Tamandua tetradactyla: one gene and its partners. The protein of the gene in region 1 purifies or fractionates together with the protein of each later gene. This does not show direct contact. Links are inferred from orthologs where the notes say so. Each region holds a gene or a part of one and is shown on either strand. Other genes may lie near its edges.

Region 1 (7,964 bases):
CAACACCACAACCCACAGGACGGAGCCACAAGGGCCAGAGAACTCAGGGAACCTCAGAGCAAAATGCTCTGTGGCTTAGGACATTTTCACTGTCAAATGCAAAACATTTCCAACCTTCCCCTTTCTGAGAGTTCCTAGCAGTAGCACCCCCGAAGTAGCACTAGAAAAATCTGACAGAAGGATTACCTAGTGCTGGACTTTTTATTATTTTCTTTGACTCCTAGCAAGCTCTTCTTTTTCACTCCTGATAAATCCATTCTCCCCTTCTGAAGTGTTCAGAGCAGCAATGGCGGCCTCACTGATCTGAACTCTCACTTCTAACTCGATTCTGAGAAACGATCCCTAATCGATTGCAATTTACGCCAAAGAGCAGCCTAATAACAAGATAAAAGGATTTAAAGAGTGAACGGATTGGCAAGGCAACAAATCTACTTTGCAGTAAAAAGCTGAGCACATGAGAAATCGGCACGTGAACACAGTAAGCAAAGAGTGTCCACGCAGCCAGAAACCTGGGGTGGGCAGTCACCATTTCCTTACAGAGGATTCTCACCCTACAGGAGGCACAGGTTGAACCGTCACCTCAGCTTCTGTTTTTCTTGAGCAAATGGGGGTGGGAGGGAGGTGAAACCTGTCATTGTCATGTTACAGGCTGTATATAAGTTTCTTGGGCCATAAGTTTGATGAGCCCTCTAAAGCCCCTTAAAAAAAATACAGCACCCCATTCACACGCAACACAGAGAAAAGCCTAACTCAAGTGTGGTTTTCCTTATAAAACTGGGTGTCTTGTTTTATTGCTGTAATTTCTTTTTAGGATATACTGGACATATAACTACAAGCAAAAATATATTTCAAAAGTGACTAGTACTAGCATCAAAACACTTAATACCCAAACACAAATAGATAAAATGTCCCATATGAACATTAAAAATGCAGGAAAATGATACTTTAAAAAGTAGTTACTGGAAATACTGAACTTTAAGGTAATGTGTACTTCAGTGTAGGGAGAAAGTACAATTTTCTTTGAAATGAAATATAAGATTAATAGATGGCTAGAAACACGATAAAGCAAAGAAAGCAGAAATATTACTTCTAGACTCTAATGCTGGTTATGTGGAAGAGAGCAGACTATCACCCTTACGCTCCTTCCCAGGGCTGTAAAACCTTAAAATAAAGTGCTACAGATACCAGCAGGAAGCACCTGATAAGGTGAGTGTCCTTGGGCAATCAGGGAGTAGAATTCAGTGGATAGGAGTATAGAGTATAGGGGTCAGTTGGCCTGGGTTTAATTCAAGACTTTTGCTATGTAACCTTGGACAAGTCACTGAACCTTTCTGATTCTTATTTTCTCATCTGGAAACAAGTACATTCATGGAATTAATCCACCAAAGAGACCTGGCACCCAGTTAAGGCTCAATAAATGGTAGCTGATGTTTTATGAGAGGGTTGTTTCTCAACTTTTGGAGGCTCTTTTCCCACATGCACACTTGTTTCCAAAGTGACACACGGTTCCTGAATGCTCTACAGGTGTCCTTGGCCTGCCCAGGTGAGGATCACCTAGAACAATGCTGTCCACAGAAGGAGAATAAAGAGCCACAAGCATACCATAAAATTCTCCAGTAGCCACATTATAAAAAGTAAAACTCAGGTGAAATTTTTAATAAAGTGAATATAGTATATCCAAGATGTCAATATAAGATTAATAAAACATTTCACATTCTTTCTTCATACCAAATCTTTGAAACTTAGTGTACATTTTTCAACTGAACTGGGACCAGTTATACTTCAAGTACTCCACAATTACATGTGGCTAGTTGCTACTGCAGAGACCCCGCTTACAGGTTACACATTCAGATTCCTGGGTCCCACCCCAATCCTAAAGATCTCGAGGACATAACCCTGAATGCACTTTGCAAAACAAACACCAGCGGTTATTTTTAAGCACTGTAAAAACTAAGAATCGCAGAATAAATGAGCGCTTTGCTGGGTACTGCCGGGTACTAGAAAGCAAAGAGTGAGGTTGTCCACGCAAATGCGGGTAACAGGACAGGACCGCAGTCACCTCCCCCATCCTCCGGAATGGTGGGCGTCCAACAGCCAGAGAAAGAAGAGAACAATTAGTTACATCCCGAGCGGATGGCGTTTGGGCTCGACTCTTAAGAGCACCTTTATCACTTAAATGTACATTTTAGGCACAATTCATGCGAAAAAACTAAAGCAGGAAAGCATCTTCCAGGTCTCCTCCAGCGACCTTAACCTTCCAGCACCCTCCCCTCTGGGGGAACCCGTGACACGGAGCCCCTCCGACAGCAGGGACTGTGCCCGCCTCGGTCACCGTGCTCGGACTACACCGGGCTGGATTCCCAAGGCCTGGTACCGAGACGGGCACCAGAGACCCGGTAACATTGACGGGCAAATGTGTGAGTTGCTGACCAGGAACCGAGTATCAGCCGGTCTTCCGGGCCGCCCACAAAGCAACCCGCCCGCCGACCTTGCCGCCTCCCGTCCGCGTTCACTCACAACTCCCCCGTCCAGGCTCTGGGCCGCGAGCGCTTCCAGGCCGTTGCGGGTCCGGGTCTTGGCCCGGCGGGAGGACGCGAGGGCGGAGACCGCTCTGCCGGCCCCTCGGAGCCCCGTGGGCCTAGCTGGGCCCGCCGCCGAGCGCACCGGGCGAGGGGCGCCCTTCCGTCCGCGCCGGGCCCGACCACTTCCGGGCCGCGGCCTCGGCGCCTCCCCCTCCGCCCGCCCCGGCCCGCACTTTCTCCCAAGAACCCAAGCCGCCGGGCCGCCGTTCCCGCCTCGGGCCTGTGGAGGGGCCGGCTCCACGATGCGCCCCGCCGCGCCTAGCGGGCGGCCCTGCAAGCTCGGATGGGGTCGGATTCCGCCCCGAACTTACATCTTCCCGCCGCCGACAGCGCCTCCCGCTCTCCTCAGCCGCCGAGGCTGGCGCCTGTCTGTCGTCAGGGTTCGGGAGCGGGAGCGCGCCGTCCGTCGTCGCACAGCGATGACGTAAACCGCGGCAGCCAATGGCCGTGAGCGAGGAGAGTCTAAAGGGCCAAGGGCGTTTCTGGTTCACCGCGTCAAGGACCCGCCCTGGTTTCCCTCCCTGGGGGCGTCTCCCGGCGCTGGGGTGGGTCGGGCGATGGGCCGGCAGCCAGGGGGTTAACACGGGCGCGCGGCCCCGCTCCTCTCGTGCGCGCGCGCTGGGCTCGGGGGCTTGCTGGGGCGTAGCCTGGGCTCGCGCGGTCGGAGTCCCGCGTGGGTGCGGGAGGCGAGGCGTGGGAACGCGGGCGCGCAGTGCGGGCCGCTGCCGAGCCTCTGGGGGCTGGGAGGGCGCGGGCCTCGCCGGGTTCCTTCCCCGCCTCGTCACCCCCGTGGCCGGCAAGTAGTCGACGCTTCGCAGTTATTTGTGGAAGGAGAGAAGGTGCTCGGCCTGGGTGACCTGTTGGAACTCGGTGGTGCAGCGGGGAAGAGGAGGGGAGCACATTCCTGCCGGTGGTTTGAAGGAAGGGCCTCAAGTGAAGGACAGGAAAGAGTTCAGGATGGATGGATGGGTGGGTGGGTGGAAAGGTGTGGTCCCTCCCTTCCCCAGTCCCTCTGGCCTGAGGAGTTGGGGGGCAAAACACAGCCGGCAAGGAGGGGTCCTGCCCACACTTTCCAGGGTTGGGGGTGGGGGCGCCCCCCTGGATTTAGATTCGATGTGGCGACATTTAGGAGGAGTTAAATCCTGTGCCTTGTGATCACGTCCCCTGGCGTGGCCAAGCATCAAGGGGTAAGTGGGAACGAGGGGTGCCCCAGTGGGTGGTGCCTTCAGCCCTTCCCGCTGCCGTGAGGGGGAGCCAGAGGTGGGCGTTGGGGGATGGGGTGGACTAGGTGGTCCAGTCAGGCAGAAGTGACAGCACGTGGGAACCCGTAATCCGCAAGGGCTCCCCAAATCCCGAGCCAACCATCATGTGTCCAGGGCAGCACTGACCCTTCAGGGGCAGCTAGGAGACCCCACCGTGGTGAGAGGGCGGTGGGGGGTGGAAAGCCAGCCCCCTTCCTCCCTCCTGCTTTTGGTTAATGCGCTAAAGTAATTTAATTTGGCATGCCTGAAAAATTTAACACATTTTATATTAAACTTAACATGATTTATTCAGACACTTCAGAATTTAATTAAATTTGTTTCTAAATATTACTGGTTTTTGTTATAAAATGTACAGTCAGCTGTTGAGCTTTAAAAATTGAGCATCCTGATCTTGCCATTTTGAGACACAGTAGAAATGTGTTCATAAGAAACATGGATGTACATTTCTCCCGTCCCTCGGGAGTCCTGCCTTTCCCCACTCCTGTGACCCAGTGCCATCCTGCCAAGGCTGTGGGCGCTGAGGGTGGCAAGGCCAGGTCATGGGGACCCCCCATGGGGTGGTTTGATGGGGGTAGGGCAGGCTTCTGTGGACAGGGCACTGAGCAGCTGGCCGGGCCCTGAAGTTCTGCACGTGGCCTGGGGCAGCATCCTGGGAGAGGCCGCCGAGGTCACTGACACCCGGGGGACTGGGGAGCGCCCTCCCCCATTTCCTCACTACCGGTGCTCCCTCTGCACAGTTAGGTGCTTTAGACTTCCCGGGAGGCTTGGGGAGTGCTGATGTGGGGAGCATGCTTACAGCAAGGTGGAATGTTCTTCCTGCCCTCACCCTCCCTGGTCCAGATGGCCTCTGCAGGGCCCACCCTCGGAGGCTGGCAGCTGGGACACAGCGAGAGCTGGGGTGGCAGTTCTGGTGGTGGAGGCGGGCACCGAATCCCCTTGAAAACGATGTCTGGGAAGCACCTGTGCCCATCACTAAAGCCAGCTATGGGTGCTAAAGACAGGCATGGCCCAGCCCAGGGTACAGCACAGGGGCTTGCTTGGGTGGGAGCGGAGGCTGCAAGGAGCTGTGTGACTTTGGGGAGAATTTAATGCTGTCTGAAGGGGCCTGGATGGGGTTGGGGCAAGCCTGGTCGTAGCGGGCCTGGGTTCTGGCCCCTCCAGCAGACACTTCCTGACTTCCTCGAGTCCTTTGCCTGACACCGTGCGGGCTGAGAGGAATTAGGCGGTGTGCGGGAGGGGCGGCTTAAAGGGGATGGGGATGCTGAGTGCAGCTGAGAGGAGGGGGAACCGGGGTGGATGGAGGAGGTGCTGCAGAAGGACACTGTCCGTGGTGGGGTGGGGGGAGGAGGGGCAGCGGGTTGAGGGAGACGGGCCTCAGAGGGGCTGGGGGGCCAGAGCTGTGGGCTGGGAAGCTGTGCAGGTTTTCAGGCTCAAAGCCACGTGTCCCAAACGGACATTTGCACACCAATGTTTATAGCAGCATTATTTACAATTGCAAGGAGATGGAAACAGCCAAAATGTCCATCAACAGACGAGTGGCTAAACAAACTGTCGTATATACATACGATGGAATATTATGCAGCTCTAAGACAGAATAAACTTATGAAGTATGTAACAACATGGATGGACCTAGAGAACATTATGCTGAGTAAGACTAGCCAAAAACTAAAGGACAAATACTGTATGGTCCCACTGATGTGAACCGACATTAGAGAATAAACTTGGAATATGTCATTGGTATCAGAGACCATCAGGAGATAGAAATAGGGTAAGATAGTGGGTAATTGGAGCTGAAGGGATATGGACTGTGCAACAGGACTGGATACAAAAACTCAGAAATGGACAGCACAATACTACCTAACTAATGTAATTATGTTAAAACACTGAATGAGGCTGCATGTGAGAATGATAGGGGGAAGAGGGCTGGGGACATAAATGAAATCAGAAAGAAAGATAGATGTTAAAGATCAAGATGGTATAATCTAGGAATGCCTAGAGTGTATAATAATAGTGAAATGTACAATGTACAAATTTTAAAAATGTTTTGCATGAGGAAGAACAAAGGATTGTCATTATTGCTGGGTGCTGAAAATAGATGATAACTAATACTTCAAAATGTCACATTATGTGTAAGACTAAAGCAAAAAATGTTTGTTACAAAATTTAGATTTCGACTAGAGCATTTCCTAATATAACTCATGTAGATAGTTTGAATGTCATAAGTACTAGTAATCTCAGGTAGCACTTGAGATTTTGTTGGTTTGTCCAGAGTGATCCCCCGATGAATCCCAGAGTGATTTGATCAGTGACTGGAAAAGTATTTGCAAGCCCCCTTCGGGGAATGGTGAGAGTGGGGAGAAATTCAACTTCCCTAAGTTGAATTCTTGATATTCTCACAGGCAGTGTGGACAACCAAAGCTATAGGCTGAGCCCCCAGTCTTGGGGTTTGTTCACATGAAACTTAACCCCACAAAAGGTAGGTCAAGTCTACTTAAAATTTAGGCCTAAGAGTCACCCCCAAGAGAGCCTCTTTTGTTGCTCAGATGTGGCCTCTCTCTCCAGCCAATATGAGCAGTCCCACCACCCTCCCCCTCTCTGCATGGGACATAACTCCCAGGGGTGTGGACCTTCCTGGCAACATGGGACAAAGATCCTGGAATGAGCTGAGACTCAGCATCAAAGGACTGAGAAAAACCCTAGAATGAGCTGAGAATTAACATCAAGAGACTGAGAGAACCTTCTTGACCAAAAGGGGGAAGAGTAAAATGAGATAAAGTGTCAATGGCTGAGAGATTCCAAACAGAGTTGAGAGGTTATCCTGGAGGTTATTCTTACGCATTAAGTAGATATCACCTTGTTGTTCAAGATGTAGTGGAGAAGCTGGAGGGAATTGCCTGAAAATGTAGTGCTGTGTTCCAGTAGCCATGTTTCTTGATGATGACTGAACAATGATATAGCTTTCACAATGAGACTCTGTGAATGTGAAAACCTTACGTCTGATGCTCCTTTTAGCTACTATATCAACAGAAGAGTAGAACATATGGAATAAAAATAAATAATAGGGGGAACAAATGTTAAAATAAATTCAGTTTGAAATAGTGGTAAATGAAAGCGAGGGGTAAGGGGTATGGTAAGTATAGTTTTTTTTTTTTCTCTATTATCATTTTCTTTTTCCGTTGTCTTTTTCTTTTTCTAAATTGATGCAAATGTACTAAGAAATGATGAATATGCAACTATGTGAAGATATTAAGAATTACTGATTATATATGTAGAATGGAATGATTTCTAAATGTTTTATTTTTTTTAATTAATAAAAAAAAAATCCTAAAAAAAAAAAAGCAACGTGTCCTTTCTTGTCATTAGAATGTCGAGGCCAGTGACACCGAGCTGCCCACCCTGGGGTGGGCTGCCAGGGGAGAGGGGGCTGCAGCAGGGGATGAACTGCAGAGCCAGGGAGCAGCAGGGGCCATAGCTGGCCTGGCCTCCCCTGAGCCCCCTGCAGCCAGGCCACATGGAGCTTCTCTGACCAGGGAGGCATCTGTGGGGTGTGGGCTGGGCCCCAGGAACAGAGCCTGGGCAGCCCCGTCTGCTGAGAAAGGAAGGCAGGGCCCAACCCCACAGCTCCAGCCTCCTACTCCTGCCGGCCAGAGGTAGTGGCAGGTATGGATGGGGACTCCCCGACTGCCCCGCTCCTTGGCTGCCTCTCCTCGGGGTCCTAAGAGGGCTGCCCTGGGCCTGTGGGGGCTGAGACCCTGGGCCCTAGGGTGCCTTGCCATCCCTCACGCAAGGGAAAGGGGCTGCAGGGGTTCACCGAGCTTCAGGGTCAGACCTGAGCCAGGGTTCAGGGGCCGATTCTTGTGTCTGGAGGGCGGGGATATCCCGTGTGCCCGCTGGCCACGTGTGTAGGAGGTGAGCGGCTTCACCTTGACATCACTTGGGGTGTGAACCTTGGAGCCTTGTGGGGCATCCCCTAGGGGCTGTCTGCTTTGTGGGTGAGTGTGGGGGCCCAGGCTGCCCTCCATAGGAGGCTGCCCGTCTGCAGCTGCAGCTCTGGGTGGACGCGGGCCCCACGGACCTGCACGCTGAGCTGGAGTGTCGCAATTTTCTGGTCCCTGTGTGG
Region 2 (6,982 bases), on another chromosome or scaffold:
CCTGCTGAAAAAGAATCTAAACGTGATTGTATAACGATAAAGCTTTCGCAATGCGACTGTGTGATTGTGAAAACCTTGTGTCTGATGCTCCGTTTACCTACCTTATGGACAGATGAGTAAAACATATGGATTAAAAATAATTAAATAATAGGTGAACAAATGTTAAAATACGTTTAGTAGATTAAAATGCTAGTGGTCGATGAGAGGGAAGGGTAAGGGGCATGGTATGTATGAATTTTTTTGTTTTCTTTTTATTTCTTTTTCTGAATTGATGCAAATGTTCTAAGAAATGATCATGATAATGAATATGCAACTATGTGATGATACTGTGAGTTACTGATTATATAACAAGAATGGAATGATCATATGGTAAGAATGTTTGTGTTTGTATGCGGTTATGTTTCATAAATAAACTTTAAAAATGCAAAAAAAAAAACCACCCCCAAAAACAAAAAAGAATCTAAGTGAATATCAAGTTCCAGCCAAAAGCAGGCTGAAGCATCTGGGGTCAGGTACAGATGGACAGAGGGAAGGGTACACATACAAACAGGTGATAAAGCAAGTAAAGAAATATGTTAACGGTGGAATCAACGTGGGGGTAGAGGGTGTTGGCTCAATGGCGATTTTGACTTTTCTGAGTATTTAGAAATGTTCATCACGCAGTGATGGAGCAGAAACTGGCAATTGGGATGAAGTAATAGTGCGATCAAACGATCAAAAAACATGATGCTAAGCGAAATAAGCCAAATGCATGATTCTGCTTCCATGAACTCACCAGAATCAGCAAATGCATAGAGAGGGGAAGTAGGATGAGGTTATGGGGGTGGTGGTGCTGGAGGGAGGGAAGGGGAAGTGATTACTTAACGGGTACAGAGTTTCTGTTCAGGGTGATGAAAAATTCTTGGTAAAGGATGATGGTGATGGTGGCACAATACTGCGAACGTAATTAATATTGCTGAATCGTATGCATGAAAGTGGTTAAAATGGGAAATTTGGGGTTGTATGTATGTCACCACAATAAAAATTTTTAAAAATCCAAGCTGCAGAAGGACCGGGCAGAGAGGGCTTTAAGAAAGCAATCCAAGATCCAGGCAACAGAGGGTGGTGGCCTGGAAGGGGCTGAGGCAGGCCATGGGGTGGCTGCAGGCATCATGATGTGTCCTGATTTGGTTTGGGTGGAGGGGTGGGGAAGGATTCCAGAACAAATGTCTGGAGTTATGGCAGGTGCCCAAACGCGAAGACCGGGGGTAAGTTTGGTTCTTCTGGAGGAAATCAGAATCCGATGTGCATCATGAGTGGCCTTGCTCGGGTGGAAGTCTTAGAACTTCTACTAGTGGCTCAACCCATGTGCTCCTTGGCGTGCCCAAGGTTCCCTCTTACCGTCCCATCTTAAAGCCTATCATGGCTTGACCACACCTCCCTAGATCTCCTCCAAAGGTGGACTTGTTCATGACCTGGTCTTCCAGGTGACTTACCAGCAGATCAGCCCCAGCTTTCCAGAATGGTCTGGCCCCAGCCTGCCTGACCCTACTGAGAGCCTCTGACTGCTGAGCACAGGCCACGTGGCTTGTCCAAGCTGAGCCGGGCTGTATGTTTACTGGATTCCAAAGATTTACAAAAATAAGAACATAAAACAGGCTAAAATGATAACAGTTGGATACTGGATTAACTAAAATATACTATGGAAGTTAGGATCACCTGTTTCTGTTTATTTATTTATTTTAACGTGGCTAGAAATTGAAAACTAGATTGGAAATTACACCCAGGGTTCTCACTGTAAATCTCTTTTTTTTTTCACATGGTCAGGTACCAGGAATCAAACCCCGGGTCCTCGGGCATGGCAGGTAAGCACTCTCACCTGCTGAGCCACCGTGGCCCGCCCCTCACTGTAATTCTATGTGGACAGTGCTATTCTAACTCAAAGGGGGTCAGCCATGTCCATCCCTTCTCAGGCTCAAGACGCCCAGGGCCCAGGAAGGCAGCCCCTGGCTCCTCAACCTGCCCCAGTCTCAGGTCCTCATCAGACCTTAGATCGCTTCTACTTTAAGCCCAGTCTTGAAAATTAAGTTTCAGCCAATTAATGAGCTCCCTGAGGGAGGAGAGGCCAGGCTGAGTCCCCCATATACCCAGGAGGGGGCTAGGACATCCTTCACTCCACACCAAGAACCCAGAGTTAAATCTGTTTGTCCTTAGGTGGGCTCTGTGGGGGACATGGCGGTGGTGGCGGTGTTTTTGTGTGTGTGTGTGCGTAACGACCCCTCACGTCTCTTCCTCATAACCCCCAAACAGGACTAGTTTGAATTCCACTACTACTACTATATACTTTTAAAGGCGATTTCTTCAGGGACAAAGTGGTCCTCTCCAAGTCACCCACGAACAAGTCCTTGGAACGCTTAATGTTTTCCTCCATTAAAAAAAGGACTTGTTCAACTCCTGGTCCTAATAATACAATTTTTAAAATAGGATTGCCCCTACGTTCCCTAGGAGAAGCCAGTCTCCCCTTCGCGGTGTTAGGAATGGACTCGCCGGCCCAGACAGCCCCCCCTAGGATGCAGAATGTATTTTCCTAAACCCTATTCTTGGAAATCCAAATGGACGGATCCACTGAACCTGAGAGGTGGGCTCTTACCCATTCCCCCAGGATTCGGAGTGGACATTCCCAGGATCAGGACACTCCCCTAAGGCTCATTCCCGGGATACTTGGCTTCTGAGATTAGAAAAGGGTGGTGGGGTGGGGTTTTGTTCCTCGAGGTGACAGAAATGGACTCTCCCACTTCCCTTTGCCCCAAATTTCTCAATAGCCAAGGGCGCTGCAGTTCTGGAAGCTTTGTTTTCCCCAAAGCCAATCAACCAAACAGGGTCTCCGGAGCGCCGAGGGGCCGGGCCAAAGCCGATTGACCCATTCCTTACTTCAAAAAGCATTTTTTTTTCCTTTTTAGCTTTGCAGTACAAGGTTCCATTCTTGCCCAGGCGGAGCTGCGCATCTGGTGAAGATAATCACAATTTTTATTTGATATCTGCTCTAATGGAGGTTACCTGAGGCGTTGTTGTTGAAGAAAAACAAAACAAAACAAAACAAAAAACAATGAAAAGTGGCTATAGGCCAAAATATAGTTTAAATCTCAGTTTTGCCGCTGCCGAGCTGTGTGACCTTTGACAAGTCACTCAACGTCTCTGGACTTCAGGTTTAACTTCTGTTTCATGGGACTAGACGTGGATACAGTTCTTCTCCAGTGAGATCCCAGGTTTTCTGACAAGCCAAGTCCTGACATCTTAGAATCTAGAGAAAGGTGGCGGGAAGGAAGAGAGAATGCTCCTACAAATGAATTTAAGGAATTGGGGGGGGGAAAAAGGGAAACTAGGAGACGCTTGCGCAGTAAACACCTCCTAGACTCTCGCCCCGCCCAACCCCTTCTCTGCAGCAGGGAATTGCAGACGTCGCTCTACCTATCCCAGACCAGCTGAGTGACTCTTCCCCGTCTCCTTCCTTCTCCACCAATCATCGCCCTCCACCCGCCCCCACACCCGCCCACTCGAGGGCGGAAATAGGCCAGACCCCGCAAATCCGCGATGCCTGTGGGGGTGATCTGCCCCTCCACTGGCCTCTGTGCACTCAAGTCCCGCCTCCTCAGGCCCGCTTCCCCGCCTTCCTTCACGTCTTTTCATCCCCTCTCGGAGAGAGGCCAGGTCCAATCAGTATCCGACCCGGCAGCGCGGAGGGGGCGGTCCCACGGTACGTAACCGAACCCAGCCCGTCTCTTGGGCACCGCTCCCTCCCCCGTGCCCGAACGGAAATAGCGGGGTACTGGACCAATCGCAGCGCTGTACTTTTACCTAAGGGCCAATTAGAAAGCAGTAGGGGATGAGCCCTAGCCTTAGCGGCAGTAGCCACAGCCAACCCGCGGCTGACAGTTCCGGGCGGTGGAGTCGAGGGGAGGGGCCCGGGGGCGGAGCCGCGGCCTGTCCGCCCGCCCGCGCGCCCTCCCCTTAGTCCCGGCCCGGCTCCTCGGCGCTGCCTGAGATTCTCTACGCCTGGTCGCCGCCCGCCAGTCCCCGCTGCGCTGTGCCCTGCCCGGCCAGGCCTGGAGCCGACACCCCCGCCATCATGCCGGCCGTGTCCAAGGGCGATGGGATGCGGGGGCTCGCGGTGTTCATCTCCGACATCCGAAACTGTGAGCCCGCGGCCGGAGGACACTGGGGCGGGGGAGCGTGGATTTGGGGGCTTCGGAGGCCGTGGAAGGGCCCCGGGGGTGGAAGGCCAGCGAGGTCACAGCCAGAGAGGCGCCGGGGGAAGTTTAGGGTGGCGGGGATGGAGGGGCTGCGGGTGTCATCGAGTGCCTCTTGAGGTGACGACACGGGGAGGACCCGGGAGGGTCTCAGAGAAGGGGAGGCCCATGAGGTCCAGGGGAGGGGGGGCCAGGCGGCGTCCCTCGGGAACGGTGGAAAGGCTGACCGTGGGTGGGTGGAGTGTGGGTTGCATTGTGGGCGATGGGGGGTCCTGCTGTAGACCGGACTGAAGGAGGTACATGGGGGGTTCCTTGTGGCGCCGTGGAGCGGCAGGAGGCTAGAGCGGACCGAGGACGTGAAACACAGCAAGATTAGTGGGGCAGGGCTTGAGCGCCTGGAAAAGGGGGTGTCATGGATGAGAAGGGCTGGATAGGTCACAGGTTCCTTGCTAGGGGTATAGAAGGGGCTTGGGAGTGATAGGAAGTCCCAGGGGGCTTGGGGAGGGGAGATGGGGGACTGTAGTTGGACCCTGGTGAGAGATAGGGGTTTCCAGGATGGGGGGTGGCTGAAGAGATGGGGGGCAGTGGGGAGGGGGCTAGAGGGCTGGTTGTGGAGGGAGTCATGAGAGAACCTGACACGTGGGGTCAGGAAAAGAGAGGAGTTTATTTCAAGAGTAGGATGAGGCTGGAGGAATGTTCCATCGGGTAGGGTGGGGGGTTGCCCAAAGCTCTAGGAAGGAGGGCCTGAGGGGTTTGTGGGGAGAGATCTGGAAAGCTAGGAGTGGGATTGGGGGTGGTGGTGATGGTCCCCGAGAGACATCAGGGGTCAGGCAGCAGGACAGCCCTGACTCCAAGCGTTTCCTCATCTGACCACAGCAGTTTAGGGTCAGTGATCCCTGCCGGAAAAAGTTGTGTGGACGGGAGGCCTGTCACCAAGTCAGCTCCCAGCTCCCGGGGCTGGCGTTGGTGTTCAGAGCTGCCAGGAGCTCAGGCTGTGTCTGAGTGGGCTCTGGGGTTAGCCAGTCCTGGCTTTGAATTTGTGTGCCAAGTGACCTTGAATGAGGGCCTTCACCTCTCGGGTGCCTTGTCTGTCAGATGGGCTGCCCAGCACCCCTTCCTGATGGGGTGGTCTTGGTCTTGTGTGTGGTGGGTGTGAGGCGTTTCACATGTGCCAGGCACCAGATGGACACCGGCTATTTTGTCATTCTGCCGGATCTGCGGAGGCTCCTGTTAAGTGCCCAGTGGTTATTTTAGAATTCAGTAGGTATGAATGGAGCTGGGATGTAGAAGGTGCTCAGTGGGCAGGAAGGATGGGAGCTATTGGGTGCCAGTTGATGGAGGTGAAGTTAGGGTTATTTTGAAAAGGGGAGGGAATTATGAGGGGTGGTTAGTCAGGCTAGGGGGGGTGGGGGGCAGCTGTTAGGACTGAGTGTGTGCTCTCTCCCGTGCCTCCCAGGTGGGTGTCCCTGGGCAAGGGTGTCCCCTGGATAAGTCGTTTGGCCTGTTTGAGGCTCCATTTTCTTGTCTGTAGACAGCACTGATAACAGCCCCTTGGCACTTAAGGCTCATTCATTCCTTCACTTGACAAATGTTGTTTGATCACTGTGGGGTCCCAGGCACCATCCTAGTCACCAGGGGCTGCAACAGAGAACAGGAGCCCCTGCTCTTGGCAGTTTCCATTCCATGAGGGAGATGGAAATAAACACACAAGGAGAACAATCAATGGCACAACATCAAGTGACGGTCGTGAAGGAAAATAAGGCAGAAAAGGGATGGAGAATGACCGGCATGGAGAGAGTGGTCAGTTTGAAGTCCTCGCTGAGGAGGTGACAATCCAGTGGAGACTTGGTGTGATGTGAGGGAGCAAGTCCTGCAGATTTTAGAGGAAAGAGGGGCCCGGGCAGGGGACTCAGTGTGTTCAAGGGCCCTGAGGTTGGAGCTCACTTGATGAGTTTGTTCAGATAAGGGTGCGGAGGCCTTATATGGAGCTGGAGCAGAGGCTGGGAAGAGGACAGGAGGCGATGACAGAGGGCAGTGGGGCGGGCCTTGTAGGGTTTTGTGGGCCACAGCCGGCTCTTCGGCTTTTCTCTGGAGTGAGACAAGAGCCACGGGAAGGTTTTGATCAGAGCAGTGTGATCTGATTTGGGTTTAAAAATAATTCCTCTGGCGGCTGTGAAGAGAGCAGACTGAAGAGGTAGGAGCAGGAGTGGGGAAGCAGATGAGGCTGCTGCAGGCATCCAGACGGGGACTGCAAGGGACAGTGGTTGGATTTGGGGCACGTTTTTTTTTTTCTTTACATGGGCAGGCACCAGGAATCGAACCCAGGTCCTCTGGCATTGCAGGCAAGTATTCTTGCTTGCTGAGCCACCGTGGCCCGCCCTTGGGGCACATTTTGAAGAAAAGCTGATAGGGTATGCAAAGGGCTGGAATGATAAAAAGTAGGGAAGGAAAGGGGAAACAGGTAGATGTCACTGCAAGACCCCAGAGGGAGCCAGAGGAGAGAAGGGGAGCCTCAGACCTGGGGGCAGCCGAGGGAATTCAGCCAGAGGAATTCAGACTGGAAAGCCGGGGGTCCTCTTGCCCTTCCTTTCTCTAGCAGCTCCACTGCTGTGCTTCCGGCTGGAGTGGGGTGCTGTGGACACAGCAGTGAATAAGTTGGGTTCCCCTGCATCTGTGGAGCGAACAGCCCCAGGGCAGGTGTATAAATTTACTGCGTAAAATTGTAGCTGCTTTCACCAAATTTTGTACACAGATGT
Region 3 (7,976 bases), on another chromosome or scaffold:
AAGTAGCTACATCAGAGTCCTAGGAGCCAGCAACCTGAGGGTGCCCCACCGTGAGCTGTGAATCAAACCACTACCCAGCACGGTGGCAGTGCTCCACACACATTTATTAAATGAATAAGCACTGCATTTTAGGAGTCTGAAGTCAAAGTTCCTGGGACTTGAAACCTGGCATTGCCATAGACAGCTGTGTGCACTAAGGCAGGCAATAATCTCCATAAACCCATATCCTCATTTATAAAACAAACACAAGGAGACCCGCCTCGGAGATAGTAAATGAGGTACCACAGGTGAAATTCATCTAGGAGTCTGCTTGATGATTACGCACAGGTGTTTGTGTGTTTACATGTATAGAACCCAGAGGCCGTTCAGTCCTGATCCTAACCTTTCAATCTTAGCAGAAACCTGAAAATGTGTGGCATACATTCAACGGGTCACTCCATTCACCCAGTGTTGATTATGAAAAACTGCTAGTTCTCGGAAGAGAAAGATCTGGGCTCACTTTCCAAGGGCATTCGACAAGGAGGCGATTTAATATATTTGCATTTTACAGCCTGCGCTTTTCCAAAACAAGGGAAAGAGTGTGATATGGATTTAACCCTAAAGTCCCAGTGATTGCACAGCCCATTGGCGTACTCTGCTGGGATGTGGAAACCAGTCAGAGAAGGTGCTTGTCAGATGGTGTGCAGAGAACAGAAAAGCATTTGCTTCCACCTCTATTCATCCGCCACGCGGATGACACGGTGTTCGGATATACTGATGTCCAACACGGATTACCAAGAGCTAGAAGTTAAGACTCAGGTCCTCAAGGACAGACTTTCCCCAAGGAAGCCTTGCCACCTCCCTTCTGCCGTTTCTTCTCTACCTCATCATTCTCAGACCAGAATCCTTGGTCTTAGATCTGCACTGGGAACAGAGCTTGGAGCAAATGTGGTCCCTCTCCTCTTATCAAACACCACTGCCTGTGAATCCTGGGAAGTCACTGTAGGAATTATAGCGTGCAACTCCCAGGCATTCGCTTAGAGAAGAAACTGCACACCTGGTGCTAGGAAAGGAAGGGTAAGATTGAGCAAGGTGGAGGCCAGCCCCAAGCCCAGTATTTATCAAAGTCTGGTCCCAATCACCTCCACTGAATCACCTGGGATGCTTGTTAAAGGCACACACTACTCAGCTGCCCCCAGATCCCACCAAATTAGAATTGGGCGATAGAAGGAATGTGAATTTTCAATATCCTCTCCTAACACACTTCTGTACCCTCAGCTGGGACCTTGCAGAGAACTTGTGAATAAATAAGAAAGCTTAAAAACACTTTAAATTGGATCTCCCTTCTTATTCTCATTCTTGCAAAACAGAGCACTGGTGAACCAAACAAGGCAAGAGCCGATTTCCCAGTACATATATAAATATCTCCAAGAAAGCTAAATCATGACCCTGATGAAAACTCCTACCTTAAAATTTAAAAATAAGCTCACCAAATCAACAGGACTGGACAAAAATCAACCCAAACATCCCATCTTAGGCTGACCAGATCTATCCAGAGAAGCAAGATAACATCTCAGCTGCAGCCCCATTCTGATGCCAACTATATCCAGTAATTGAGCTCTGAATTCCATGGCCGTGTCTAATGTCTGGGGGGGAGGGGTCTTTACGCTCTAGTCAATACGGTTGGGGAGAGGTTATTCGGAGGGAAAAAAGTAAGATTCACCAATCCATGCACGTCTTTGAGAAGAAAAAAACTTTTACAATAACTGACACCTTCAGGTACATATCAGGCACTGGAAAAATGTTTCTTGAATTGAAGGAAATAGAGAGACACCTGATGGAATAATCTCTGCATGAGATACTAACACCCTGCATCTACATAGTGGTGAAAGAGAAAAAGGGAAGGGTAAAACTGACTGCACGCCAAAACTACAAAGTTTTAAAACCAGCAAGACCCAATATTTTAAAAGGAGCAGTTTTTAAAGATTATCAGTGGCAGGCACACAGGAGTTGCTGAGTTCCTGATGTTTATGTAATGGGGTTTCAAGAGGCATGAAGGAAGAGCAGAAACACTGCCAGGGAGGAGCCCTCTCCCACAGGAAGCCCACCTGGAATTCTGCCAGGAGGGACATCACATATTCACCTGATGGGCCAGTTCAGAGCCCCATACCCCTATCCCGCCCCAAAGATGAACCTGGGGCTTTGGCCTGAGCACTGAAAATTCCAGTTATCCTTCCTAAATTCTTCAACAGTAGTTCTCTGTTAGCAGCTGAAACTTAAACATCAAGCCACAAAACCAACAAATGGGCAGCACTTCCCCCACACTTGCAAAGGAGTCCTGATAAATCAAGCATTTAGGAAGTGACTGACATCTGGACCCTACCTAGACTCTAGAGAAGCACCCCTGAACTTGGAAGAGGAAAAAAGGCTTTTCCTCAATCAGGAAGCGGGCTCCATTCCTGAAAGCACCTCTCCCACGGGAGCCCAGCAGGTAAATAACAGCAGAGTTTCCCTATCCTCAAGGACCAGAGTACAGGTTGTGCTCACCCGCCCGAAGGATCGGGAAGTAATTCAATCCAATCCTTTGGCGGGTAAGAAAGGGGGAGTCTGCAGGTAGGAGGAAGAGGGCGAAGCACTACCGCTCAAACTTTAGTTGCTCCTTAGCAGTTCTAGGCAGGAGTCCGTGGAATTATGCTGAGGAGGGGTGTCACCCACCCTAACAGAAAAGCCCCCTAACCAGCTCAGTCCTCTAGCTGTCTCCAGGATGGCTGTGCATCAGATCCACTCAGACAAGCCCCTCGCGGGCAATACCCTGCCCGTGCCCCCCTCACCTTGGCCTCAAAGCAGATGCCGTGCTGGAAGGCGTCCTCGTTGTGCAGGGGGATCCGCAGGTCGTGTCCATCGTCCACAAGGTTGTACTTGGTTTTGCTGGGCATGGTGACCCGAGGTGGACCCGCTCCTCCAGAGGCAGCGGCGGCTGCAGGAAGAGGCTGGGGAGACCCCGGGGAAGGGAAGCGGGAGCCGGGCGCGCAGCGCGCGCAACGGGCTCGGGCTAGGACGCGGGGCGAGGGGCGTCCCGGCGGCGAGGTGGCCGCTGAAGCTGGGACCCCGGGCGGCGCCGAGGGCCAAGCGCGGGCGGGAGGCGCGGATGCGGGCGACGCGAGCCGCACTGTGGCCGCGCAATTCCGGCCGGCGAGGAGAGAGGCGGCGGAGGCGGCGACCGGAGCGGGCGGCGCGGCGCCCCGGCCGGGGGAGGGGAGCGGCGGACGCGAGGCCGCAGCCCGAGGCGGGACGAGGCGCGGAGCCGACCCCGGAGCGATGGTGCGGGCAGCCCGATCCGGGAAGAAAAGGTGGCGGCGGCGGCGGCCGAGCTGGGCGCCTGTCACGGAGACGCCGGATCAGCCGCCAGCGAGCAACTCCTCCTGCGGGGCGGGCCCGGGCCGGCTCCTCCCGCGGGTGCAGAGGCCCCGCCCGCTGCCGGGTCCGCCCCCCGCGCCGCCGGCGCCGCCCGCCGAGCAGGTGAAAGTCCTGGGAGCGCAGGGCTGGGCCCGACCCGGGGAACTCCGCCCCGGCCCCAGAAAGCTGGGAGCTTACGACCGCAAGCTCGGTGCAGCGTCTGAGCCGGAGCTGCTGATAGAAGCAACAGCATCGCCTTTGATTTTTGTTTGGTTTTGTTTTGTTTTGGGGGGAGAAGGTGTTTACGTTCTGTTTTACCGAGATGGCCCAAGCCCCGCCCCAAATGTCCCAAATCTGAACTTCATTAATTCTGAGAGTCCCCTCCCTTGGTTAATCAAGATTGAATACAAGTAGAGGAATAGGGCAGGCACTTTTTGTTCCTTTCAGTGATAGTGTGTAGTGGCGGAGGGGGGAGGTAATGCTTTTTGTGATGGTGATAATACTTTAAAGCCGTCAGTCTTATGAAAATGGGATAAGCAGAAAGGAGAACTAACGACAATAATACATCCTCCTCTACAATTTATCATAGGTTAAATAATTTGTACTGAGGAGCTGCATCACTTAGCTTTTTATAAATACAGGATATGAAAGTCTAATCAGACATGTTTGACTCTTTGAATGTCACAGTGGTTTTAATATGCATCATAAATGCACTCTCTAAAACCTGGCACAGTTACACTCAACAATTTAAAGGCAGTACCTTAAGTAACTACTTCATTTGTATCTCATATTCTATCTAGAATGTAAAATGTTCTCTGATTCCAAAGGGACTTTTCTATATTAACTTGGGTCCCACTGGACTGCTGATATTTACCAGAATTTCGTGTCTAACTCTATAACACATTGTTTGTAGACCAAACATAAGAAGAAAAAAAAAAAGCTGGCATCCCAAATGCATTTCATAGAAAGGAAAGTAGTTAGTATTTGAACCCAAATCAATTCTATGTGGAGAGGTGTTTCCACCATGCCTGGATCTCCATGGAAGACTTCTAATTACAAATGAGATGCACCTCAAATTCAGGGTCCATGTTTTATGTTGCTAAATTATATTCATCCCATTTCAATTAGATGAAATGTTCCTAAAAAGAGAGGCTTGTTCTCTATTTTGGCCTCTACCTATTATCATACCCATGCCACACGGTATTAAGATACCTTTCTTCCAGCAACAATAGGCATCCAAAGGAATTTCCATTTTTTAGCTGAGGTTTCGATCTTATTTTTGTACCTTTAAATGTAATACACTTCACCCACAATATTTCCAAATCTATAAAAACAAATGCTTTTTATCTTAAAATGATTGACAGTGCATGTATCACTTCCCATACCTTTCCATATTTTAAACGTTTAAACGTTTTAAACGTTTCATAATAAAATTTTCATCTGAAATAGATTTAATAAAAATACAAATTGCTAAATCATGAGATACCTCCTATGTTAATTTTATTGAAACTCGATTTTAATATAAATTATATATTTTTTAAAAACACTAAACCACAGAACTTCAGAGCTGGAAGTTATATCAGAGATATCTAATCTCACCCCCTCATTTAAAGACAAAGAGATTTAAGTAACTTGCTATCACTATGGCCATGAGTCAATCAGAAGTTTGGGTTATGACTTAGAACAGATGTGAAAATTTGCAGTAAATGTGGCACCAATAATCCAGGAAGGATCTCTCCCATACTCCCGACGCAGTAATCTTTCCATTACACAATGATGGGATATAAATGGATTAACAGCAAATTTTTTTGAGCACATATTTGAAATTGAGAAAATTAATTTGCTTTTGGTGAGAAATATCAGCTTTGCCATGCTAACCACTGCATGTGCATAGTCCCACTTAATCTCTCCCACAACCATGAGTCGGATACCATTTTACAAGTGAGGAAACTGAGGCTCAGAGAGGGAAATAATTTGTGTAGGTCATAAAGCAGTAAGACCTAGGAAACCTTCCTTGAGTATAGCCAACAGAGAAGAGGATGTCAACTTTTTGAGATACATAGACAGGGGAAAAAAACCACAAATCTTCATACAAATAATAATATATTAAACATTAATCACAGATAATGACTTCCTACCATCAGATAACACTTAGCTCCAAAATGCTCAAATTCTTTTTCCATTTTTCTGTGTATCCCTAAGGTGTAAAGAGTTGGGATTCATTACCCCTTTTTATAGGTGGCAATAAAAATATTAAGTGATTTCTCTGAGAAAAAGAAAAGAATTAAAACTCAGGTCTTCCAACTTCTAATTTGGGTATTTTAATTTTCTTTCAGCTTGAATTTTATATTGAGAGCTTTAAAGTTCCCAACAACTAAATGTCTCCATAATGTTAAGGAGGCATTTATTAGAAAATGAGTCAATCAGAAGTTTTGAGTTATGACTTAGAATAGATGTGAAAATTCACAGTAAATGTGGCACCAATAAACCAGGAAAGATCTCTCTCAGTAAAATGAAAAGATTTGAGTCTTCCAGTCCTGTCATTCTCAATGGCTCTCTGTAGATAAGTAACTGTAATGTAAAATTATTTCTTATTTTTCTGCCTATTTTTTAAAATTCTTTATTGTGGTAACATATATTCAATATAACATTTCCCATTTTAACCACTTCTCACTATAGAATTTGAAGGTGATTTGTTGACAATCTTATGCTGCCATCACCAGCCATTACCAAAATTTTCCATCAATTCTGTATCCATTAAGCATTAACTCTCCTTTTCCCAGCCCCACCCCAGCCAGCCAGTCTTTCTGTCTCTATGAATTTGCATATTCTAGTTATTTCATGTAAATGAGATCATACAGTATTTGTCCTTTTGTTTCTGGCTTATTTCGTTCAACATATCAGGGTTCATCCATGTTGTAGTATGTATCAGAACGTCATTCATTTTTTATGGCTTATTGACCAGAGGCTGTTGAATGAATAAATGTTTCACACCTCAAATATTAAGCAGTGCCAAGAAATACAGCTTGCCTCTGGTTTTATTGATGACATAAAAAGAATGCTAAAGATTGGAGAATTTTCTTTAAAAATGATGCTAGTGTAAGAGAAAAGATTATACTACAATTGGATAGACTTTGTGTCTGGAGATGGGCTAATTATTGTAATGAGAATTGAGTTAAAGTCTGAAGACTCCAACATTGTGACCTTGGGCGTCTCTCTCAACTTCATTGTTTATGTTTCCTCATTGGTAAAGAAATAGGAAATGCATCTTAATTTCTTCATGGAGTTGTTTGAGCATATCATGAGATGGAAAGCCCTATAAACAGTAAGGTTTCATAATAGTAGAAGAAATTATTAACATGATTTCCAAAATGGAAACTGGTATTAACTGTGAGAATATCAACAGTTTTATAGCAATCTCTACCACTACTTGTCTGGTTTGGTTTATTGTGATCTTTTACTGCATAAGAAATAAAACAACAATTTGGAATGTTTGTCCCATAGGAAAGGTTATTCTGAAGGTATCACATATTGTAATGCCAGCCTTCATATTTTTTATTAGATCCATCTAATCTCTCCTGCATGGTATAACCATTTTCTGCTTTTCTCATTCAGATTATTCTTGATAATCTTAAAGTTTATAGTTGTATTTCTTGGCACTGCTTAGTATTTGAGGTGTGAAACATTTCTTCATTCAACAGCCTTTGGTCAATAAGCTTTCTGGCCAAAGGCAGTAGAAAACATTAAGTAAGTGTCCCTGCTATGATCATTTCTCAGGGTAGCAGGGGACGTAAGAGAGGTATACATCCTTGGCGAGGCATATACTTAAAAACTGCAGTGGTTATGAGATGACAGAGTGTGATCCAAACGTAGGGGTGAGAGGCAGGGAGGGAAGGAAAGGCCCAAAATCCCTGGGGCTGATTGGTCAGGAAAGTCTTCAAGGGGGTGAGGTTTGAGGTGGCCTTTTAAAAAGGAAAGGATTTGAATAAATAACACAGCAGGAGGAGGCCAGGCAGAAAAACAGGGTCTATAGAGACATTCATCTATAAAGTGTCTTCAGGGGACAGTGAAGAGATGAGCTCACCGGATGGAGAGTTCCTACTGGGGAGCAAGTGATAAGATTAGTCCTGAGATGGCAAAAGGAGAACTTCAACACCAGGCTGAGATGTTTGTAACGTCGCAGGAAATTTATAAACTGGGATGTGACCCAGGGTGTAAAATTAGAAAGTGCAGCTCCCCCCACCAAAAACAAACAAACAAACTTATATTCCCCGACCCTTCTATTTAAGCAACAATTGAAAAATGTTTGGGGTAAAAGCTGATCATTGGATTTTCCATCTTTTAAAAGCTGATCATTGGATTTTCATATTTTAAGAGTTGTGCTGGTCTCTTGTACCCAAAAATGAATACTGATGAAAACAGATAAAGCCGCAAACAACTCTATCTCACTTTCATGGGTCCCAAAGTACCCCCACATTTCTCGTTTCCAAATGCTTTTAATTCTTGCTTCTATTCCACTTTAGCTTTGGACCTTCTCACTGGCTGACAATTCGGGATTACTTTTCTGGTTCTTTGTTTGGTTTAATTTGGCTTGATTGATT
Region 4 (6,862 bases), on another chromosome or scaffold:
CACACACACACACACAAAGCTACAAAAAGAAATAAGAAACAACACTCTAACTAAAGTATCAAAGGAGACTTCTAAGTCTTATTCCAGAACACTGTTCAACATTAAGACCCCACAAGACAATACACCAAAGTAAGACACCGGAAGAAATAGGAAACAGGCATTGCAATAAAGGTTCATTACTGAATAATAAGGGTTCATTATTTTAGCAAAATTATGAGATAAGTTTCTTTGTGCTTAGGTTTACCATTTGTTTAAAAAAACCCTAGAGTTTCCATATTGAGGACCCTAAACACATCCCAAGAATTTTTGGAGCAAAGGAAAACTATCAAGCAACTGACCCTATAAAGTCCTTTAGAATGACTAAAGAGTAATGTGATAATTTCCTAAATGAACATACTGATATTTATACATACACCTGACTGCTGTTTCCTCTCAAAAGTGCAAAGCAAAGAGATTGCACTTATTCTAAAATGTTACCACTGCACAAAAGTTTAGACGTTTTTCTGGAATTGCTTTAGAGTCAGCAGTTCATTTTTCAGAATGTATAGTAGTGGAATGTGGCTATTACTAATTTCAACTTGTGTCTTAACTACTTTCCTAGAAAGATGTGAAGCAGCTTAAATAAAAAACATTTGTGCGTATGTACATAAAGAAATAAATTGTATGGCTTCCCCAGGTGATCTGTCGTCTGAAGAGACATTCATTTAAACATTAGTGTTTGTTAAAAAAAAAGGACCATGTGATTTTAAAGATACAACTCAAATTTGGGGAAAAGCGGAGTCAATAACTTTAACATCAATTCCTCACTTCTTGTTCCCAATATGTCTGGCAGCACAAATAACTAGCTATCTGCTCTAGGTAGGAGCAACTTTGCTCCTTCAACGCTAGGTAGGAGGTCCTAAAAGACTGTGTCAATCATTTTTATGAAAGGCAATTTCCAGACAGCATAAGTACCCCACACATTAAAAAGGACTACCTACACAGCTGCCCTAATGCTACCCTTAAGAAACAAAAACAGCTTTTTAACTCCACATTTCTGTTCCACACAAATCTCTGCAAAATGGCCACATTGCCTATATGTAAAGTACTTCCTCAGTTTTCTGAATGGAAACAAAAACAGCTTTTTAACCCCATTTTTGTTCCACAAAATCTCTGCAAAATGGCCACACTGCATTTATGTAAAGTACTTCCTTAGTCTTCTGAATGTTTCTTTAAATGATATGCACACACTTTAAATGACCCGGCCAAAATGAGGCCCCATCACAGATTGAGTTACTCTTTAGTACAACCTCTAAAACATCATTTGCCTGAAGGAAAATTCAGTCAATTCTTCATGGTCATTAAGATCATGTCTTCATGCAAGTGATAACAAAACAGGCATATTATGAAACTTAGCCACTAAACCCCGATATCAACAGTGTCTTGTTCCAATTATTACTTTGGAGATTGGAAGCATACTCTTCTGCTCACTTTTACTAGTTGACAAGCAACAATGAACCTTTCCAAAACTACTAGCTGTTATTTCCACTTCAGCTGAAACTTTATCACCAAAGAAGGGACAAGTGGTTATCCACTGAGACATTTTCCTCCACTTGGGCTACAAATTCATCTTTGAAGGATAAATTTATCTTCTAACTTTCCTTCCGGAATAACTTAATGCACCAAGAGTAACAAAAACAATAGTCAAGCAACCTCTGGATTGTTAGAATCTTCACAAAGAGATATTTCTTTCCTCTGAAATATCAGTTATGTTGTAATACATAGAGTATGGGATTTTTTTGCTTTGAGAGCCCATAATTTAAATTTGGGAACAAGGACTTACTTTCCTGACCTAACATGCTTCTGATTTGAGGCAGGTCTCCATGTTTTCTTGGAAATTAGGAGGAAGGAGTAGTGGAGGGACATCAGACAGAAGGCAGTAAATAAAATGAGAGTTAGGACTGTAGCTCACATAGATTCCCATTTGGCCTGTGGAAAAAAAAGTTTAAATGCCACTCATAGGACACTCACCTTGAGGATTTTTACAACCACTCTCTCGTTGTTGGTGATGTTAATAGCCTCAAACACTTCACTATACTTTCCCCGACCAAGTTTTCGAACCAGTTGGTAATCATCCTGATTACTGTGAAAGGAAAGACAGACACATAAATGCTAAGATAGTGGATCAACCAAGTTCAGGCTCACTATACACTCCATGCAGATGCTTCCATTAATCAAACACTTGGAAGTGTCTATACATCACATCACAACTCATTCCCTAAATGAAGGCTACAACAAAAACTTGGCTCCCTTCACTCTGCAGAGCTCCTAACCTAATTGTTCCCTCATAACTTAAGGGAGATGATGTAGAGGGAGCGCAAAGCATCCATACTGGAGCGCCACAGGGTACTCCTCCACCGGTGGCTTCAAAGCACCTGCCTCATACTTCACACCCTGAACGCAGACAGTGCCTGCTTTGCTAATCTGGACGTCTTCAAAAAATTTCCTCCCACCCAGTCTCAGACAAACTAAAAGGCAAAGAATTTTAATAGCTCAAGAAGACAGCTGTTTACTTCCCACCCCAACAGAAAGCCAAAAGTGTGAGGAGGATGGGCTGCCCCCTCACTTCTATGAAGATCTGGCCCTCAGATCCTTTACGTCTTCCCAGGAAGAAAGGGAGATGAAGAAAGAGAGGGGTGCGCCAAGTGGGAAGAGGAGGCCAAGGACACGTGCGGAGGGGGAGGGGGGGTTCAGTCTCCCACCCCAGACACGAGAAAGCGCCGGCCCAGAAGAGGAGCAGGCGGGGAGACAGATCGCCCGGAGCCGAGTGTGGTTCACACTGGGGGGCGGCCGGGCGGGGCCCGAGGAGGGTGTGAGGGTCGGGTGGGGGGCGGCGGCTTTACCCCCAGCTCGGGACGTGCGACTCATAGTCCCAGTACTCGCGGCTCCTCAGGCTGTTCACCTCGGCGTAGACCCGGGCCCTGCTGCCCGCGGCCGGGCCGGGCATGGCGGGCGGGACCGGGGGGCGCCGCAGGGCGCAGAGGGTGGCGCGGCGGGGGGCGCCGGGTGGAGGGCGGAGCGGGCGGCCGGCCGCCGGGCGCCGGAGGAGGAGGAGGAGGAGTGCGGCGGCGGGCGGCCGCGCCAGGCCGGGCCCGCGGGGGCGGGCGGGTTGGGGGGCGCGGGGGGCTCCGGCCGGCCCGGCCCAGCCCCGGAGCTGCCGGCGAGGCGGAGGGACGGGCGGCGCTCGCGCTCCGCGGCGGCCTCAGCTCGGCTCGCGGCCCCGACTCGGCGGCAGCAGGGGCGGCGGCAGGGGCGGCAGCCGCGGCAGCCGCCGGCCGGGAAAGGGACAGCGGTGGCGGCGGCGGCGAAGAAGGAGGAGGAGGAGGAGGAGGAGGAGGAGGAAACCCGGAAAAGGGGCCGCGCTCAATAGGAGCGGCCACCGCCCGGCCCGGGGCCGCTCGGACTCACAGCGCCCCCTGCAGCGCGGGGGGACCCGCCGGGCGGCGCCAGCCCCGCCCCCGCCCCGCCCCCTGCCCAAATCTCCCCCTCCTCAGTCTGCCCTGACGCGGTCCTCACGAGGCTTCCCCCACTCACAGACTGTCTCTCTAACCTTTCCTCTCCAGTCCCGACCCTTTAAAAACTGTCTTGGAGGTTCCTACCCAAAGCTCTCCACCCTCTAGCCACCCAGAGTCCTCCGTCCTCAAGACCTCCCCTGCTGACCCAAACTACCCCCATCGAGTGCCCTGCTGATGACTCTCCTCAACTACTTAGAGCCTCCTCCGCCTCAAGATCCCTCTGCTCCTCCCAGAGGCCCCCCTTTTTTCCTCCAGACCTTGTCTGGTCACCCATAGAGGTCTCAACCCTAAGACCTCCTCACCCAGAGCCTCCTTTCAAGACCCTTCTCTTACACTTTCCCCCCAGATTCCCTTACCTGAAAGAGCACTTCCCTGAACAACTTCTGAATGTTCCCTTGGTCACTTGGTTATGTTGGTCCCTGTCAGGTTGTCTGTTTTCCCCATTAATAGATAATTTGTGGGGAGCTTGAACTCTGCAAATGCCCTTTTTATGTGTGTGAGGACGGAGAGCAGTAGAATTGTGTGGGGGTTCTGCCTGAAGGCTCAGTCCAGGGCGTGGGGTGGACTGAGGGTGGGGTGTTTTTTATTCTGTTGCCTCCTATCTCTAAACACTTCTCTCTCTGATCTTCTGGGCCTTTCTTCTGTTTTCCTTTCCCATCCTATATCCTGTATCAATGGAACGTCCTCATTCATCCCAGACTTTTCTGACTTTAATCCCTTTACACATTCTGTTTTCCAGATGAGACCCTGCTTCCTACTCCTTGTTATTATTAAGAGGACAGAATATCGAGTCAGATACAAGCAGGTTTGAATTCCTGCTCTACTGCTTATAAGCTGTGTGGCCTTGGCTTGGTTGCTTAACCTCTCTGTGCTGCAGAGTTTACAGCAAAAAATCAGTAATAGCACTTACTTTACAGGGAGAATTGAAAAGGTTAATTCATGTAAAACACTTAAACCAATGTCTGGGAGGTACTGAGTACTCAGTAAAGGTAATTACCCAATATTATTATTTCCAGTTCCAGAGCCTTTCTCCTATCACTTTTCCCTGAGACCACAACAGGCTTATCTTTCAGTTCTTTCCACCTTCTAAACATGGCCAGGAGCTACCCCCACCTTTCACTACTTCCTTCCCATGGCTGACTCTTGCTCTTCAAATCTCAGTTTAAAGGTCATTTTCTCTTGAGTTGACAATTCTCTGTCTCAGCACCCTATCCACATCCTTCCAGAAGTCTGCATGGTCTGTGATTATTTGCTTCCTAACTGTCTGTCTCCTCCACTGTAAAAGCAGCATCCAGCATCTTCCACAATTCGAGGCTTTCAGTGTATACAATGTTACCCCGTAGATTACTTATTAATTACAAAGGGGAACCTGGAGGTCATGACCTTAACTGTGGATCTAATTTAGCATCAAAAATGGGACCAACTGAACTCTTGATGTGATGCACCAAGATGGGACACGATATCCCCAACGCAGTACTCCTGCCCCAAAATGCTTAATCTGAATCTAATCAAAGGGCACAATCAAACATATCCAAACTGAGGGAGCATTCTGCTAGACAATTGGCCTAGATTTTTCAATAATATCAATGTCACGAGAAGAAACAAAACCCCTGGAGTGAACTTCTCAATTAAAAAAGACTGAGAGACATAACTAAGTTAAGTATATGACTTTGGTTTAAATACAGAATAAAATGGGAAAGAAGGAAGGGACGGAAAGAAGAATATAGTTAAAAGGACAGTAATGGGATTATTGGAGAAATTAGAATAAAGGATGTATATTAGATAATATTGTATCAATGTTAAATTTTGTGAATGCGATCATTGTATTTTGGTTATGCAGGAGAATCCCTTGATCTTGGGTATTACATGCTGTTGGAAATTCAGTAATGACCCCCCATAAAGACGTGTCAAGTTCTAACCCCAGTTACTGGTTGTAGACTCATTTGCGAATAGTCTCTGCAAAGATCCAATTGAGATGAGGTCAAATTGAGTTAGGGTACCCTTTGATCCATATGACTGAAGTTCTTTTTTTTTTTCTGTATGCTGTATGGTGGGGTTACAATTCATCTTTTTCCATGTGGCTATCCAATTATTGCAGCACTATTTGTTGAATTTATTTTTGGGGGGAAATGGGGGAAGTGCACAGGCTGGGAATCGAACCTGGTCTCCCTCATGGCAGGCAAGAATTCTACCACTGAACTACCCTTGCACCCCATGACTGGAATTCTTATAAACAGAGGAAATTCAGAAGTCAGGAGAAGCCAGAGGAGGAGAGAGAAAGGGATTGCCAGGTGATATGGGCAAACATGCATCTACAAACCAAGGAACACCAAGGCTTGCCTTCAAGCCAGCATTGGAATACCACTGACACAAGGAGAAAGCATGGTCTAGCAATACCTTGGTTTTTGACTTACAACCTCCACAATTGTGAGACAATACATCCCTGTTGTTTAAGCCAACCAATTTGTGGTATTTGTCATAGCTGCCTTGGCAAACAGAGACACATACCAAGTGTTCAGGGATAAAGTATAATATCTGCAACTTATTCTCAAATGGTTCTCCACAAAAAAGCGTGGGTTCCAGAGAGCAAGAGCACACATGGGGGTAAGGAATAATTGGGGGAGAATTGTTAACAATTGGCAAGTATAGACAGAGAGCACACGAGCTTACAACTTTTTGGTAGATTTGAAATTTTTCAAAATAAATAAGAGGGCAGGCCAAGGTGGCTCAGCAGGCAGTGTTCTAGCCTGCCATGCCAGAGACCCAGGTTCGATTCCCGGTGCCTGCCCATGCAAATAAATAAATAAGAGCGTGTATGAAATAAGTGGACTTTGGCATTTAATTCCCAAACATGGACACTTCCCTGAATCTTTTTTCCGTGAGAAGACACGAGCATTTTCAAGCTGTTCATGTAGCCATAGGATTTCTTTCTGACAAGTCTTTGTGAATTAGCCTGTACCAGAAGTTCTTAATCTGGATCCTTTGGATGAGCACCAAGGACCCCTGATGCTGCATGCAAAATTTGTGGGTCAGTGTGTGTGGGTGACGGTGTGTGTGCGCACATTTTTTCTTCAGCATCCATCAGCTTCTCAAAGGAGGCCATGATTATAAAGTGGTTCCAAATCACTGGTCTAACTACTATGTCCAACACTGGCAGGAACCCCATTTCTTGCCTCCACCCTCACCCACCTGTGACCCCTCCCACGTTCCCTGAACCTTCTCATCTTTTACCACCTAACCCACACCCATCTCACGTAACCTGCTCCCACACCTGCCAGGAAGCCTGAGGATTTGCCTACACACCTCTC

The links.
Region 2: the proteins of RNPS1 (region 1) and AP2A1 purify together in Homo sapiens (co-immunoprecipitation; 3 studies listed by BioGRID and IntAct, with this or other methods). This does not show direct contact. The link is inferred for Tamandua tetradactyla from reciprocal best matches to the Homo sapiens genes RNPS1 and AP2A1.
Region 3: the proteins of RNPS1 (region 1) and NOS1AP purify together in Homo sapiens (co-immunoprecipitation; 3 studies listed by BioGRID and IntAct, with this or other methods). This does not show direct contact. The link is inferred for Tamandua tetradactyla from reciprocal best matches to the Homo sapiens genes RNPS1 and NOS1AP.
Region 4: the proteins of RNPS1 (region 1) and CSNK2A2 purify together in Homo sapiens (co-immunoprecipitation; 3 studies listed by BioGRID and IntAct, with this or other methods). This does not show direct contact. The link is inferred for Tamandua tetradactyla from reciprocal best matches to the Homo sapiens genes RNPS1 and CSNK2A2.

The regions. Positions count from the first base shown.
Region 1 is NC_135349.1:55,260,714-55,268,677, reverse strand, and holds the start of RNPS1 (RNA-binding protein with serine-rich domain 1), read right to left. Parts: upstream 3,004-7,964; 5' UTR 2,896-3,003; coding exon of another isoform or gene 2,894-2,895; intron 375-2,893; 5' UTR 258-374; coding exon 187-257; intron 1-186. UniProt on the Homo sapiens protein: Part of pre- and post-splicing multiprotein mRNP complexes. Auxiliary component of the splicing-dependent multiprotein exon junction complex (EJC) deposited at splice junction on mRNAs.
Region 2 is NC_135342.1:11,396,434-11,403,415, reverse strand, and holds the start of AP2A1 (AP-2 complex subunit alpha-1), read left to right. Parts: upstream 1-3,966; 5' UTR 3,967-4,105; coding exon 4,106-4,172; intron 4,173-6,978; exon of another isoform or gene 6,979-6,982.
Region 3 is NC_135330.1:15,202,966-15,210,941, reverse strand, and holds the start of NOS1AP (carboxyl-terminal PDZ ligand of neuronal nitric oxide synthase protein), read right to left. Parts: upstream 3,002-7,976; 5' UTR 2,916-3,001; coding exon 2,811-2,915; intron 1-2,810. UniProt on the Homo sapiens protein: Adapter protein involved in neuronal nitric-oxide (NO) synthesis regulation via its association with nNOS/NOS1. The complex formed with NOS1 and synapsins is necessary for specific NO and synapsin functions at a presynaptic level.
Region 4 is NC_135342.1:51,831,874-51,838,735, forward strand, and holds the start of CSNK2A2 (casein kinase II subunit alpha'), read right to left. Parts: upstream 3,003-6,862; 5' UTR 2,987-3,002; coding exon 2,883-2,986; intron 2,123-2,882; coding exon 2,011-2,122; intron 1-2,010.